4 linked regions of the Ovis aries genome follow. The protein of the gene in region 4 interacts with the protein of the main gene of each other region in a pairwise test. Links are inferred from orthologs where the notes say so. Each region holds a gene or a part of one and is shown on either strand. Other genes may lie near its edges.

Evidence for each region.
Region 1: the proteins of NMI (region 4) and TXLNB interact in binary tests that used the Homo sapiens proteins (3 or more experiments, as listed by UniProt). The two-hybrid records come from large-scale screens. The link is inferred for Ovis aries from reciprocal best matches to the Homo sapiens genes NMI and TXLNB.
Region 2: the proteins of NMI (region 4) and MTMR9 interact in binary tests that used the Homo sapiens proteins (3 or more experiments, as listed by UniProt). The two-hybrid records come from large-scale screens. The link is inferred for Ovis aries from reciprocal best matches to the Homo sapiens genes NMI and MTMR9.
Region 3: the proteins of NMI (region 4) and BRMS1 interact in binary tests that used the Homo sapiens proteins (3 or more experiments, as listed by UniProt). The link is inferred for Ovis aries from reciprocal best matches to the Homo sapiens genes NMI and BRMS1.

Annotation. Positions count from the first base shown.
Region 1 is NC_056061.1:64,222,596-64,226,157, forward strand, and holds part of TXLNB (beta-taxilin), read right to left. Parts: intron 2,991-3,562; coding exon 2,796-2,990; intron 973-2,795; coding exon 853-972; intron 1-852. UniProt on the Homo sapiens protein: Promotes motor nerve regeneration. May be involved in intracellular vesicle traffic.
Region 2 is NC_056055.1:105,116,159-105,120,491, reverse strand, and holds the start of MTMR9 (myotubularin-related protein 9), read right to left. Parts: upstream 2,830-4,333; 5' UTR 2,440-2,829; coding exon 2,258-2,439; intron 1-2,257. UniProt on the Homo sapiens protein: Acts as an adapter for myotubularin-related phosphatases. Increases lipid phosphatase MTMR6 catalytic activity, specifically towards phosphatidylinositol 3,5-bisphosphate and MTMR6 binding affinity for phosphorylated phosphatidylinositols.
Region 3 is NC_056074.1:40,819,832-40,823,987, forward strand, and holds the start of BRMS1 (breast cancer metastasis-suppressor 1), read right to left. Parts: upstream 2,831-4,156; coding exon 2,692-2,830; intron 2,623-2,691; coding exon 2,532-2,622; intron 2,376-2,531; coding exon 2,248-2,375; intron 2,101-2,247; coding exon 2,021-2,100; intron 1,936-2,020; coding exon 1,839-1,935; intron 1,318-1,838; coding exon 1,225-1,317; intron 67-1,224; coding exon 2-66; intron 1-1. UniProt on the Homo sapiens protein: Transcriptional repressor. Down-regulates transcription activation by NF-kappa-B by promoting the deacetylation of RELA at 'Lys-310'. Promotes HDAC1 binding to promoter regions.
Region 4 is NC_056055.1:158,219,168-158,223,229, reverse strand, and holds the start of NMI (N-myc-interactor), read right to left. Parts: upstream 2,851-4,062; 5' UTR 1-2,850. UniProt on the Homo sapiens protein: Acts as a signaling pathway regulator involved in innate immune system response.

The sequences.
Region 1 (3,562 bases), on a different chromosome or scaffold from region 4:
CAAAGCCATCATCAGATCTTGCCCAGATTGCTGCCTAGCTCTTTTGCCCCTCTGTAGTTCACTTTCCACCTATCAGCCAAAGTCACCTTTTACAGATGCAAAGCAGACCCTGTCACTTCCTTTGCTGAAACTACCCAGTACTTTCCCATTATATTTAGAATAAAATTCAAACTATATTTCAAGCTTACAAAGCAATACAGTTTGCCCCTTGCTTACCTCTACAGTTTCATTTTGAAATTTTCTCTCATTGGGGCACCTACTCTTGCTACCCTGACTTTCTCCTATTTCTGGAGGATGTCAAGCTGGTTCCAGCATTAGGACCTTTGTTTCTGCTACAGACACTGCTGCTGGGGACCTCCTCTCTGACTCCCTGATCATCAGGAAGGGAGCAGCTCAAGCATCCTCTGCTCCAGGAGGCCCACCAAGTCACCCAGTCTAAAGGAGGCCTCCTTCTGCCCCTTTGAGGTTCTTCCTTATTTCCCTAGTAGCACTTATCTGAAATTATCCTTCTTTGCTTGCTTGCTTATTTATTGCCTTTTTCTTCCAAGTTAGACTCCAGTTTCCTTGCTGGGATGTGGACTTCTCCATCTTGTTCACCACTACATGCCAGTACCTAGAATGGGGCATAGCTCATGAAATGTGCTTGCCAAAGGTTTGGTGAATGGATGCATGATACAGTGTTACAGTGATAGGTACAGTGTTTCCTCCTGGGCTGGCCAGTGTCATTCTCCAGGGAAGCTTAGGCTCTTCCTCCATCAGTCTAGTACTCTATGACCGTTACCAAAAACATTCTCAGGGGTTCTCTGACCCCAAGACAGACCAGACAAGCACATAGATGCATATGATAAATACATATTCCTTCTCGCGTTTGTGTCGCTCCTCTGCTTCCTTCATCATTTCTTGTGCCTGCTCAAGTTTCGCATCCACTAGCTTCTGCTGCAGTTCTCTGTGTTTGAATATTTTGTCGAGGTGCTGAGGAAAAGTAAAGTGCACGTATCAAGTTGAGTTATTATGCTGAAAAACATATGTATAAAAAAGTAATATTGATATAAACATGTGTTCTCTAGGTTTTAAGAGTTAAAAAGAGGAGGAATAAAGGCATTGGTGTCACTTATGGTTTTATACGAAAGTCATAAATTGGTGGAGTCTCCTGCAGTTTGCACTACATGAAAGTGGCTACAAAAGGTGGAGGTGCCAGAGTTCAGCAATGCAACACCAAAAGGTCCCAACAATATTTTTCTAAATATGACAACTATTAGATATGGCACTAGTTTACCCTAGGCTCCAAAGACAGTGATGTGTATCACAAGGGCTATAGCACTATCACTTGGTATTTTGGCTCTTTCTGTGAATATAAAATCCCATTTAACCACAATATTAATTCAGTTTATCGTGGTGAATTCTCTACATGCTTGCCTCAAGGGTGTGGGGAAGCCTTGAGGTAACAGCCTGTGGCCCTTTGTCTGGGACTGAGGCAGTAGCCCCCTGATATCAACTCTGTTGCTCTAGTGGGCAAGCAAGGCTCAGGTTTGCAGATGAATTGATATGCAAATATGCTACTTCCTCCTCCACGCTTTTTGACCTGTTGACTACCTTGGTCAAATGAAGCTTCCAACTCCACCTCAGTGTGGAGAATTTCTTGGTTATTAGGGGTCCCATCGGCAAGAGGACATGTAGAATTTGGGCCTTACCTAGAACCAACCTAGGAATATACAACTGGTCTACCAGGTCATTCCCATACATGATCTCTCTGCAGAGTATGGGCACCTTTTTTTTTTTCTCTCTTTTTAGCTCCTTCTCTTTTGTTTTTTCTTGAACCTCCACTTTGGAGCAGGATTAATCTTTATAACAAGATAAAATGGTAGCATGGAATTATGGCCTACTGCGAGAAGTTTCTTGATTTACCGAACTGCTATCAGTTTTTTTTTTTTTTTCCTTGATTAAAGCTTAGCATGTTGCCAGCAGAGCTCCTTTGACTATGTTATATTACATTTTAAGGCAGAGATTTAAAATTTTAAGTGAGATGGAAAAAGGGATATGACATATCAAAATCCAGAGGGGGGCATCTGGAATCTTCAAAACATATTAAATATTAAAATATAATCTTGGAATAATGAAAGATCTTTATAGTCCCCCAATGTAAACTATTGATAACAAACTTTTTTGGCTTTTGTGATTGTAGATATGTGATTTAATCTTGTAGCTTCTGCTTCCCATCTATAAAATGTGGATAATACATTATTATCTAGTACATAAAATTGTTGAGACAGTTAAATGACATACTGTATGTAAAGTATAATACTTAGCATATTGCTTGGTACAAACTAAGTAAAAATAACAATACCATTATTACTATAATTATTATATATATACTATATAATAATAGTATATATATTATTATTTGTGGGGTATATACAATGCAGACTTTTAATTTTGATGACATGGTAATTCTTAAGAGGGCATGCATGAAGTATTTCTTGGTTCTGTAGAGAGAGTTTAAAAAGGCTGAGAAATAATATTTTTTATTTTCAAGGATAAATCCATTCATGTCCTACCCCTTGTTTATTGCCTCTGCTTCGCAGTGATTCTAGTTTTGAAGAAATCCTCTATGACTTTCAGCCAGGTATTTTGTAACATCATATGTTTTTATTTTGGCTAGTAAAAGAAGTCCAAACCTAAATATTAATCAGTTGAGAAGGCTGGTCATAACTTTGTTATTAACTGACCTCCCAACCTTCACAAACCAGACCCAGACCTATATGGAGTGTTTGTAAGTTGTCTGATGTGGTTCTCACCTCCTCTCTGAGCTCATACTGATCAATGATGCTTTTTAGTTTCTCTGCAAGCTCTGTGTTCTCCTGACAGAGTTTCATGTTTCGCTCACTCTGCTGCTCAATCTGGGCCTGGATATCCGTCAGGGTGTTCTGGAAATGACTTGTGATCTCCTTCCTTTTCTCTTCTTCCTCACGTGCCCGCTGAAGGGTTTCCTCCTGTAGAGAGAATGCACGCTCTTGTTATGCTGGTTTATAAGCCCCTAGGTTTACAGACCTCAGAGTTTGGTTGATGAAGGGAGAATAGTGTGCAGGGTAAGTAGGATATATTTCCTCAGTTCTCTAGAGGTAACATTGCTCAGCCCCAACATAAATGTTTGAGCTGAGGTTTCAACTGTGAATACATGGTCACTCAGAGCAGGTGCAGCAGGGGCCTTGAATTTGATAGCTGGTGATAAATAGACTTGTTTTAAAGACAACGGGTCCCGTGCTGAGTAAATAAACTGCAGTGTTTCCTAACAGACATTCAGCCTGAAGGTTCTATCTCTTGGTTGTGGCCTAGAAAAAAGGATACTCAGTCTTACTGATTGATGGGATAGATCACGTGTTCCCTTAGTTTGGTACAGAAAGAGGAACAGCAGATCTTATGTTCCTGTGTAAAAATGATGGCATATTGATCATGTAATTGTGTTCCTCAAGTTTCCTATAAATGATTACAATATATATTTTTTCTTATTAAAAATAAATGTCCTCCAAAAGCTTGAAAGGAAAACTAAGATAGCCATATATGA
Region 2 (4,333 bases), about 53 Mb from region 4:
GGGAGGCGCAAGCATTCGAGGCAGAAGGAAGAGCGTCAGTAAAATACAGACGTGAGAGAATGCAGGACACGGATGAACCAAAATGAAAAGTGAGGACTGACTGACTGGGCAAATGGGTTCAGGAAAGAGAATGGCAAGAACTGAACAGGGAAAAGTAGATTAGGGCTAGAACGAGAACTGCCATACACGACAGACTAAGGGGTCTGCCCTGGGGGCTCGGCTACAAAGAACCTGCCTGTCATGCAGGAGATGAGGGCTCCATCCCTGGGTCTTCAAGATCCCAGGAGAAGGAAACGGCAATCCACTCCAGTATTCTTGCCTGAGAAATCTCATGGACAGAAGAGCCTGGTGGGCTACAGTCCACGGGGTTGTAAGAGTCGGACTTGACTGAGTGACTAACCACCACCGCCATAAAGGCGAAAAAGGAACACTGAAAACTTTTACACAGGAGGTGATCTCAGGAGTCAAACAGGAGTCTGCTGCTTGAAAATAAATCTATCATCATTTTACTCATATTGTTTAACTTTTCCTATCAGAAATAATTTTCTTTTAAGGCATAACCACTTTGGGAATCTCCTCCACCTCCAAATTCTGCTGCTGCTGCTGCTGCTGCTAAGTCGCTTCAGTCGTGTCCGACTCTGTGCGACCCCATAGATGGCAGCCCACCAGGCTCCCCCATCCCTGGGATTCTCCAGGCAAGAACACTGGAGTGGGTTGCCATTGCCTTCTCCAATGCATGAAAGTGAAAAGTGATAAAGTGAAGTTGCTCAGTCGTTTCTGACTCTTCGCAACCCCATGGACTGCAGCCCACCAGGCTCCTCCGCCCATGAGACTTTCTAGGCAAGAGAACTGGAGTGGGGTGCCATTGCCTTCTCCAAAATTCTGAGAACTAACCAAAAAAACTATTGTCATTCATTTATACTTTAGTCTAAGTTGGATGACCAAATCACCTTCTGGCTAAAGTACACAAAACCATTGCGGAAATGGTAATTTTGACTACAGATGAACTATAACTTTTAGCCTCCTGAGACACTACCCTGGAAAGAGAGCCTGGGGTGCAAAAAAAAAAAACAAACAAACAAAAGTCAATTAATGAATACCTTTGTTTAAGAGCCTATTCTGTTCTTTGCAAAAGCACAGATAGTAAAGAAAATAAAACACATTCTAATCTTCCAAAAGACGCTTACTCCCTGGAAGTAAAGTTATGACCAACCTAGGCAGCATATTAAAAAGCAGAGACATTGCTTTGCCAACAAAGGTCTGTCTAGTCAAGGCTATGGTTTTTCCTGTGAAATGTTGTTCATCAGGAAATGTTGGATGTGAGAGTTGGACTGTGAAGAAAGCTGAGCGCCGAAGAATTGATGCTCTTGAACTGTGGTGTTGGAGAAGGCTCCTGAGAGTCCCTTGGACTGCAAGGAGATCCAATGAGTCTATCCTAAAGGAGATCAGTCCTGGGTGTTCATTGGAAGGCCTGATGTTGAAGCTGAAACTCCAATACTTTGGCCACCTCATGTGAAAAGTTGACTCATTGGAAAATACCCTGATGCTGGGAGGGACTGGGGGCAGGAGGAGAAGGGGATGACAGAGGATGAGATGGCTGGATGGCATCACCGACTCAATGGCCATGAGTTTGAGTGAACTCCGGGAGTTGGTGATGGACAGGGAGGCCTGGCATGCTGTGATTCATGGGGTCGCAAAGAGTCGGACACGACTGAGCGACTGAACTGAACTGAATCTTCCAAAATGGGAAGTCTTAAGTTGATGATCCAGAAGGTAAGAAACAAGGAGAAATATGATGAACTGAACATTTCCGAGAGGGGAGAAGGGTTTGTGGAATTTAGACACTATATACTGAGTCCTTTCAGTTTTCCTCAAAAGTTGCAAGTAAAGACTTTGTAATCACATTCACTCACAACTTCATGAACTATGATGGGCAGTTAACATTCAAGGAATATGATGGTGCAAGGAAAAGAAATTTAAAATGAAAACGTTGCAAATCCATTCAAATAGTGTTATGTACCAAAAATGATAATCACAGTAACAGCCATACGGTAACCCAATCAGAATGAATGGAAACCCGGTATCTCAACTGGATGGTTTCAGCTTTCTAAAACTCAAACCCTCAGTCTAGGCCAGAGCGAGGGTCGTTCTGCTGACTGGTTGGGCGAGGGGACACAAGGAAAACGCTAGGACGGGTTTCCGCAGACAAGCATCTGAGTTGCGCGCAGAACAGGGGATGGACGGGACCAGCACTCACCGCTTGTCGATGGCGTCGATGTTTGAATGGAGAAGCCACAGCTCCTCTGTGTTGTCCTGCCGGGAGGAGAGGATCAGGTGGTGGCCAGTCAGACACAAGGTCCCCTCGACGGGCGGATAGAAAGGGCGGTGCAGCACCACATTGTCCACCCGAGGGGTCTTGATCAGCTCAGCAAATTCCATGTTCTCCAGCGGCCGGAGCCAGGGGACTGCGGAGTCCCAGAGGCGCAAAACGGTTCCACCGCTCCTGGGCCGGAGGCACTGATCCCGCGCCCAGCAGGCAGCAGGGGCGGGACCCGGGCTCGGAGGCCGCGCCCCGCCCCAGGCTGGGGTGGGCGCGGCGAGGCCTCTGGCCACCGTCACTGGCCCGGGGAAGGCCCGGGCTGGGCCAGGCTGGGCGCCTCTCCAGCACCTCTAAGTAACCTCAGGCCCAGGACTTGGGCAAAAAGAACGCTCTGCGACAGGCCCAGCCGCTGCCGCCTCCACCTTGAGATCTGGCTTCGGGTAGCCAGGCTGAGAGAAGGACAAGGCCGCCCAGGGCCACTTTCCAAGTCCAAGACGCTAAGCACTCCTGGCGGAAGTAGCTACTCACAGCGGGAACTTAAAGCAACTCCGGGCGGAAGCGACGGGCTGAAAACAGCAAAGACGGAACAGTCCGACGCAGAAATTGGTCCCCACCTAGGTGCGAAGAGAATGTCTCCGGAAGCACAGCAGGAGTCGAATATTTGTGTTCCTAGCAGAAAAAGCTCTGCCTGCATGCCCTCTGCTGCGCCCGCTGCTCTTACAAATATTCCATAAGAGAAAATGCAGGAGAAAAAGGGAACGACGAGAGGAGGTCCCTGACCTGCCTGCCTGCACTTGAGCAGTTATCCCTATTCAGCGAGTGGGATTGCCGTAAATTTTGGCGATTTTCATCCTTTCGCCGTGAAGAGATAACATTTGGGATCGAGGCGGTGACTGTGACCACAAAGAAGGGACCAGATGGAAGGGAGGAGCCGGCTGGACACGCACAATCACAGAGGGCGAGTGTAAACGTGCTGTGACCTTGAACAAGAAAGAGGAGAAGCATACAAACGCTAGAAAACCTAGATAGAAATATACGCAATCCTCAGAAAAGGGAGTAATCAATCCTCAATTCAGTTCAGTAGCTCATTCGCGACTGAACTGAACTGAGGTCAAGGATAAAGAAATACTATGGGGCTCACATTCAGGAAGCCAGTTTCCAACCTACACTTTCAGTTCAGTTCAGTCACTCAGTCGTGTCTGACCCTTTGTGACCCCATGGACTGCAGCACGCCAGGCTTCCCTGTCCATCATCACCTCATGGAGCTTACTCAAACTCATGTGCATTGAGTCGGTGATGCCATCCAACCATTTCATCCTCTGTCGTCCCCTTCTCCTCCTGCCTTCAATCTTTCCCAGCATCAGGGTCTTTTCAAATGACTCAGTTCATCAGGTGGCCAAAGTGTTGGAGTTTCAGTTTCAACATCAGTCCTTCCAATGAATATTCAGGACTGATTTCCTTTAGGATGGACTGGTTGAAACCCCTTGCAGTCCAAGGGACTGTCAAGAGTCTTCTCCAACACCACAGTTCAAAAGCATCAATTCTTCGGCGCTCAGCTTTCTTCACAGTCCAACTCTCACATCCATGCATGACCACAGGGAAAACCACAGCCTTGACTAGACAGACCTTTGTTGGCAAAGTAACATCTCTGCTTTTTAATATGCTGTCTAGGCTGGTCATAGCTTTTCTTTCAAGGAGCAAGCATCTTTTAATTTCATGGTTGCAGTCACCATCTGCAGCGATTTTGGAGCCCCCCAAAAGAAAATCTGTCACTGTTTGTATTGTCTCCCCATCTATTTGCCATGAAGTGATTGGACTGGATGACATGGTCTTTGTGTAGTAAACTTACACTTACTCATACTCTTTTCAGCCAAAGCACAGGAAGACAAGTTCTTCATCCCTAATGATTACAGAATAGCAAATCAAAACTCCAGTGAGGTTGCCCCTGACAGCAGTCAGAAGGGTCATCGTGAACAAGCCTCCAAGGAGAAAATGCTAGACACAGCCTGGAGC
Region 3 (4,156 bases), on a different chromosome or scaffold from region 4:
CCTTTTTGATGGCTGTCCAGTCCTCCAGGATGTCGATCTCCTGCAGCATGTACACGATGTAAGGGCCTGAGATGGGGGTCAAGGAAACAGGAGACGTGGGGAGGGGGCAGGGGATGGGACCGGGCCCCCAGCCCAGGGGGTGGGAGGTGCCAGCACTCAGAGGCGGCGGTGCCGTGGATGGCGGGTTGGGGAGCCGAGCACCTGGGGCAGCACTCAGGCTCCACCTCCGACCTCGTGGCTCCTGGGTTCTTAGCAGGGTGGAGTGCGTGGCTGCGGCCTATTTCAGTTTCACCCAGTCCACAGAGGGCGTTCAGCCCCTTGGCTCCCTCCTCACCTCCTCTCAGGCCTCAAGGTCAGAAGGCCCAGGCCCAGGCCACCCACTCAGGGATCTCGCCCCCTGTTCCCTCAACTGGCCCCACCTACACGCAGACTGTCATCTATCTCTTCTGTCCTGAAAACCACCCTCCATCGGTCTCACCCGCCCGTCTGGGGACTGGCCACTCTGCCCGCTGACGTCTCCACACCCTCACCTCCCACCCCCGCTCAAGCCTCTGCAGTCCAGATCCTTCCCTCCCTGCTTGAACATGATCCCCATCACCAGGAGGTCAACTTCCTGATAATCTGACTGCGGCAGAAATATGGAGGGGTGTGTATACCTGAGAATTCAATTCAACTCCGTGCTGGGCTATGCGAGGGGGGGAGGCCGGCACAGCAGGCCCTGAACAAGAGGGGCTCACACCTGGGGGGCGGCAGAGGTGACTATGTCCAGAAGGGAGGCAGGTGCCCCCGTTCAGGTAAAGGGGTGCAGAGGAGAGGGAAGCCACAGCCATTGTCGGGGAAACCAGGAGAGGCTTCACAGAGGAGGTGACAATTGATGGGCACCGAGCAGGCAGACAGGTAAAGGCATCCAAGAGGGGAGTGTAAAGTCAGCAAAGGCATGGGGGTGGGAGAGCCTGGGACATGCCCAAGACACTGTGAGAAAGCCAGAAGGGCCTCAGAGGAGACCTCACTCAGAAAACTATGGGGAAATCTCTGGATGAATGCTTCTATTTTTCCATGGTCCACACAGGCCAGGAGGACCCTGCAGAAAATTCAACAGCTGATCTGCCTGGACACGGCCACAGGAGGCCAGATGACCTTAAGTGAGTCTGGTCTGCCTCTGTCCCCCATGTGCCTCCACCCTGACCTCCTGCCCAGTTCAGGCCACTGTATGGGGAAGGATACCGGAAACGAGAGGCGCCTTCTTCCTCTTGTTGGGTGGCAGGGAGTCCCATGTCTTCGAGCTGCCTCTGGCATGCAGTTTGTCATCCCACCACTCTGCGCCCCAGACCAGAGTCAGCATCAGGGTGCCGTCCTCCCAGGACGCCCCACCCCTGAAGCCTGTGTCCCTCACGTGGGCCAGGCCAGCCCATCCCCATCAACCTCCCCAGGGCAGTGCAGAGAAGCCTGGGCTTGGAAGCTGAGTTCAATCCTGGGAAAGAGGTCACTGTGCTTCTGCTAACCTCAGTCTCCTCATCTGTTTCATGGATGGGGGTGTGAGATCATTAGTCCCTCCCTCCCCAGTGCCCTGTGTGAATGGGCACACTGTGGCCATGGCAGGGGCACGTGTGTCAGAATGATGCCTCCATTCTGGGACCAGCACGGAGGGAGGGCACCCCCAAGCTGCCACTGTGCACCAGGCACCGGGCTGGGCCCTTCCCCGCCTGCTTTCCGTCAGTCCCCACGGTGAGCACGGAGCAGGCCCTCCTACACCCACCCCCATGCAAGCGGGGAAGGCAAGGCCCAGACAGGGAACGGGCGCTGGAAGCACAGGGGTGCCGGCTGGCCGCTGGCCTCACCAGAGTTGATGTCCAGGCTCTGGCGGTCCTCCTCCAGCCTCTGGATCCGCTCCTGCAGCTCGCCCTGCAGCGTGTCGTACAGCAGCAGCTTCTCACTCTGCAAGAGGCGCAGCGGCTCAGCTGGGCGGGGCGGGGTGGGGCGGGGCGGCCACCTCCTCCCCACCCGGCGCACCCACATTCACCTCCAGGTGCTGCTTGGCTCCCTGCAGCTCACACTCATACTTGTTCCTGATCACGTCCAGACAGAAGCCCTTGTAAATCCCTGCGGAGGGAGGGCGATGGGCGGCCGGGCCTGGCCAGGGCCCTGGCTGCCCACAAAGGCGGGTGAGGCAGGGCACGGGTGAGAGGGGAAGGGGACAGAGAGCCGTGGGTTCTCATAAGGGGACGGGGCACAGGACGGGCCACAGACCTGCCACCTGAATGCGAATCTTGAGGCTCCGCTGCAGCCCCCCCAGGGGCTCCGTGTATTCGGGTGCCCTTTCAGCTCCCACTTCCTCCAGCCGCACCCGCAGCTGACTCAGTCGTTCCCTGAACAACCTGGGAGGCGAAAGGCAGCCGTGCGCCCGTGTGCCCATCTGCTAAACACGTGCCCAGCGCCCCGGGTCAGGCCCTTGCTCACACCGGCCCTGGCTGGCGCCAGGCCCTCCGCTGCCTCCTGGAAGCCGGGCCCCGAGCCCCGGGCCCCTCGCTCACTTCTCCTTCAGCTCCGAGAACTGCTTCTCCAGGTCCATCATCTCACTGACGCACTCGCTGCGGCGCCGCTCGTAGTCCTCCTCGTCCATCTCTGGGACAAGAGGCCAGTCAGGGCCGGCTGCGGGGGCAGGCAGGGCGCTCGAGGGCGTGTGGGGCTCACCTGAGCTCTCCTCCTCGGACTCGGTCTGGCTGCCGCTCCGTTCCTCCTCGCTCTCCTCCTCCTCCCCATTCATCTCGGCAGCTGAGTCGCCCTCTGCTTCCATCTCCTCTGTGTCCTTGCTTGGAGGCTGGACGGGCATCTGGGCGCTGGGAGGAGCAGTGGAGCCATCACTCGCCCCTGTCCCCAGCTCCGAGTGGCAAAGTGGTCACTTGGGGAGTCAAATCAAGCCTCGCTGTGGATGGGGACAAGCAGGGGAGGGAATGGACTGGACTCGCTGGGCCCTAGGGACATGCAGGGTGGGGCAGGTACAAATGGAACCATCTACACATCTCCCAGAAATCTAGGAGCCACAGAAATGCCCATCCCCTTGGACATTGTTGGTGATCACAATCCCCGTAATATTGGCCAAGGTGATGATCTGTAAGATGGGAAAGGCCAAGATGGGCTCTCCACTGCCTACGGGACTGGGCCAAAATTCTGACCCAGGCTTTCGAGGCCCTGCACACTGGACTTGAACCGCTGTCCAGCTCCTTCACCCCACATCTAATGGCCAGTTCTCAAATACACCACGCACTTCCTCCCCAGCCCCTGCTGCCCACTGTGCTGTTCTTCTGCCTATAAAGCCCTCCACTTCTCTTCCCACCCTACAATGCTCGGGTCCTCTCGCTATGCTCAAATCCTACCTCCTTCTGCCTCCTCTAAGACCCCAAGTCATCAGTACTCCACTCTCTCTTCTGCATGCTCAATTTTCCCTCTTGGCAGCTCTTAGGAAACTTTAGACATGTTTAGGTATTTCCCAACATGCAGAAAAAGCAGAAACACAAAACTTCATCCCACTCCACTCAATCACGGCCCCCATTTCCCATCTTTGCAAGGTCTTGTAAACACATGCTCTTCCTACTCTTTCACCTTCCACTTGTTCCAATCTGTTTCCATATCATTGCTCTCAGCTGAAACTGATCCTGTAGAGTTAATAGATGACCTCCTTGTACCCGATGCCAATATTTTTTGGTCTCTATCTTGACTTCTCAGCAACAAAGAACAGTGTTAAACATCTTTTTACTCACTGATTTAATCTTTATTGAAAAATCTAACATATGCTAGGTACCATCAGACACTATGGTAGGAGCTTGGCTCAAGTGCGGCAGACAGTTTTCTGATCTCAAGGAGTTGACAAGTTCCTGGGAGAGAGAGGCCAGGAAGCAGAAGAGTTAAGACCAAGAGCATATGGGAGAGGCAGCTAAATGAAACCTGGAGCTTGCTGCAGCAGTGAGGGCTTGCAGAGGATGAAGGGCCAAACCCATGAGCTGAGCTGGCTGAGGAAGAGAAAGCATTCTAAGGAGAGTGAGTGGCATGAAAAAGACCCTGAAAGGAGAGAAGGGGCAGGGGTGGGGACACATGGGTCTAAGCCTCAGAGAGAAATCTGGGCTGCAGAGATCTGGTCATCACATTGAGTGAGTTCTTC
Region 4 (4,062 bases):
TCAAAAGTGTTAAGCACATGAAAGCCAAGTAAAGACTGAGAAACTGTCCCAGACCTGAGGCTAAAGATACATCGTAACTAAACACCATGCATCATTCTTGGCTCTGTTTGTTATACACTATATAATAGGGACAACCGGCAAAATTCAAATTACATCAAAGGATTAGATGGCATTAATGTACCTATATTAATTTTCTGATCTTGATCACTGTATTGTAGTTATGTAAAGAATACCTTTTTTTTTTTTTACAGGAAATAAATACTCAAGACTTCCAGGTTAATGGGTCATGATACCTGCACTCAAATAACTCAGGAAAAAGAAAAGTTGTTACTTGTAACTTTTCTGTAAGTTTGAAAGGGTTCAAGAAAATTTTTAAAGATACATATTAGTAGTTCTTATTGCATCAACAACGGCAGTCTTTACAATGCTATTCATCCCATATCTTACATAATTTAACCCCAACTAGTCTTAGTTGGCTACCTCATGCGAAGAGTTGACTCGTTGGAAAAGACTCTGATGCTGGGAGGGATTGGGGGCAGGAGGAGAAGGGGACGACAGAGGAGGAGATGGCTGGATGGCATCACCAACTTGATGGGCATGAGTTTGAGTGAACTCCGGGAGTTGGTGATGGACAGGGAGGCCTGGCATGCTGCGATTCATGGGGTCGCAAAGAGTTGGACCCTACGGAGTGACTGAACTGAACTGAACTGTGTCTTATTTAGACAACTCCTGGACCAAGTTCCTTAACCACACTGAACAACCTAAGGGTTTCTCTTCTCCCTCATGTTCCTCAATGTCACATCCTCCCTCCCCTGCCAACCTTAATTTCCACTTAATGAAATCCTACTGTTCTTCAATGTCCATCCCAAATTCCACCCCCAAGTTCTTGAAGTCTTTTATGATTCCCCCAAATGATGTTACCTCTTCCCCATTACCTCTTTTGGGGAGCTTTATTTGTCTGCTGCTGCTGCTGCTGCTAGGTCGCTTCAGTCATGTCCGACTCTGTGCGACCCCATAGATGGCAGCCTACTAGGCTACTTTTGTCATTTTCCATGACAAGATGGTCATGACCTTGAGGCCAGGGCCTACATTCCCTCTTCCCTGTATCCATTCAGAGCACGAGTTCACATACTGAAAACACTTAATGTTTATAGGACTGCCTGGTATCTTGACTCAGGTATTTGCTCAGCCCCGGACACCTGGGGCATGCAGTGTTCTATGAAATGTTCTCATTACATTTCCAGAAAGCAGAAACTGCAACATTCTTTAACTGCTTTTTTAAGTCTATTCTTAATGCTTGTAATAAAAGCTCTCAATAATACATTTAACTCATATAAATGGTCTACTACTTAATATTCCCAGAACTTGTTACAGCATATCTAGTATCTGGATACTTTCCCTCCTTGATGAACGGGATGTATAGTAATAGCTTTCCTTTTATGCACTCAAAAGGTAGGCAAAATAATGGCCCTTTTAAAGAGGTCCACATCCTAACCCCCATAATCTGTGAAAATGTTGGGTTATGCTGCAAAGGAGAACTAAGGTTATAGACTGAATTAAGGTTGCTAATTTACAGCTGACTTTAAAATATAAAGCTCTTCCTGGATTATTGGTGGGGAACAATGTAATCATCAGGGTCCTTCTTCAAAGTGAAAGAGGAAGGGAGAAGGGCAGAATCAGAGTGAGATGTGACAAGGGAAGAATAGTCAGAGAGATGCAATGCTGCTGGTTTTGAGGATGGAGATATGGCACCACTCCTGAGCCAAAGGAGATGAGCAATCGATAGAAGCATAAAAGACGAGAAAACAGGTTCACATCATTAACCTCCAGAAAGGCAGGCAGAGCAGCTAACACCTTGATTTTAACTTAGTGAAGGCCACCCAGACTTATACTGAATTTTGTGTGTGTGTGTGTGTGTGGTAATCTGGACAGGTTGCAGGGCATGGAGGACCTTAGTTCCTCGACCAGGGATCAAACCCATGACCTCTGCAATGGAAACACAAAGTCTAACCACTGGACGGCCAGGGAAATCCCCCATACATAATTTTAAGATAAATTTGTAGCTTTTAAGGTTTTACTGAGTCCATGGTAATTTATTATGGCAGCAAATGAAAAAAAAAAAAAAAAAACCGTACAAATCACCTCCACCTGTTCACCACCTACTTCCCTAAGGCAAATCTTCCCATAGGCATGCCAGGCAGCAAAAACAAAGGAAATGAGGCAAAGGAAGGGGAAAAGGAGGTGGAGATGCGCAGACAGGATTGCTTCCTGTTGTTTTTTAACTTTTGCGTGTCGCATAGATAGGGAAACACCACATTCTGTTTTGGATGTCTCTTTAAATAAAATCCCTGTATGTTCTGAAAAATCAGGCACGACAGCCAAACCCTGCGCCTGCCAGGAGACTAAATCTCCCTAAGGAATCTGTTTTCCTAAGAACTTTCTCCAGAGACACTACAGAAACAGTGGGGAAACACAAACCATTTTAAGTTTCAATTTCCTAAACGAAGCAAAGCAAAGGAGACGGGGTCAGAGGCCGGGGCTGCAGGCAGAAAGCCCCGTGGGCAGGGGGCAGCCGCGCCCCCTCGGCAGCTAGGTGGCCCCCACGACCTCGGCAGCGGGCAGCGCAGGAGGGCGGCGCAGGGAATGGGGTCGCAGAGCCAACGACACCCTACTCTCCGCCAGGCGTTCCCACCAACCCTCAACCCCACCGGAGGTCCCCGGCCCCGCGGAGCCCACAGGGTCGCCACTCACAGCCTCTCCAGCCGGGCCCACTAGGAGCAGGAATGGCAGCGCGGGAAGGGGTCGCCCACTCACGCGCCTCGGCCGGCCGAGCGCCGCGCCCAGGTTCCCGGAAACCTCGCTGGCGGCGCGGGTAGTCGCTGGAACCCTCCGGGCCTGGCTGGGGCTCCCTCGTCCGGAAGCGCCTTCAGCCTTTTTCAAATGGATGGCCCGCGGATCAACAGTTTACTTCCTTTTAAAAAAAGAAAGAGAGAATAACAGAAGAAGAAAACTACCCAAGGATGATTTTGCTTCAGTCTAGTCACTGGTCGAATACCAAACCCGGTTCCCCAATGATTAGTCACTAACAAGTTATACCTATTTTCACTTTCGGTTTTTAAAATGTGTTGGTTTTGTTTTTGTTTGGAGGAAATCTACTCCCAAAGTGTTCCTGAAGTTTCCATAAACACTCATTTTAAGACATGTTTTAAAAACCACTCCTTCGGATGTGTATTCCAGGACGTGTTTTGGGAAAATGGGCAGAAACCAAATAAAGTGGCAGTCTCTCTTCAGACAATAACTCTCACTGTAATCTGTTGGTCACTGCAGCCTTAATCTACAAATCCTCACAGCCAGCACGGAGTCTGCTTTGGTGTGTTTCTTTTGTAACTTCGCAGGAAATTGGCAAAGTGTGGTGTTCAGCTGATTTCTGTGATCCATGTCCCTTGAAACTTTTCTCTGGTATTATTGTGAAGCTTGTAAACAAACGCTTCACTAGGTGTGATCTTTTTCTTTGGAACGGAAAACATCTGGTTTATTTCAAAAATGGCAGTGTTTCTGAATCCTACATAGAGAACCACCCCACAGCTGCACTTACTGTGAATAGGTCAGGGAACAGATGCATGAAATGACTTTTAGACAGAAATTCTAGTTGATAGTGCTGTATAGTCATATGTAAAACTGACATGTTATCTGATAAAAGATTAACCAAAATCAAAGTCCTTTATATCAAGAATGTTGATGGCAATCTAGTTTACGTTGGACTTCCTAACTGAAAAAAATAAAGGTATATAGACATTTGTGCTCATCAACCCAGTCAAAAGAGCAATAAAACGCTACCTGATACAGCTTGAGAATTACTTTTGGTCTCCCCTAGAATTTTATTTTTTATTTTATTTTTGGCTGCACCATGAAGCTTGTGGGATATTAGTTCCCTGACCAGGAACTGAACATGGGACCACAGCAGTGAAAGCACCGAGACCTAACCCCTGAACCACCAGGAAAATCCCACCCCTTAAAATTTTAGAGAACATGAACTCTGGAAATTATTTAGTTCAAACATCA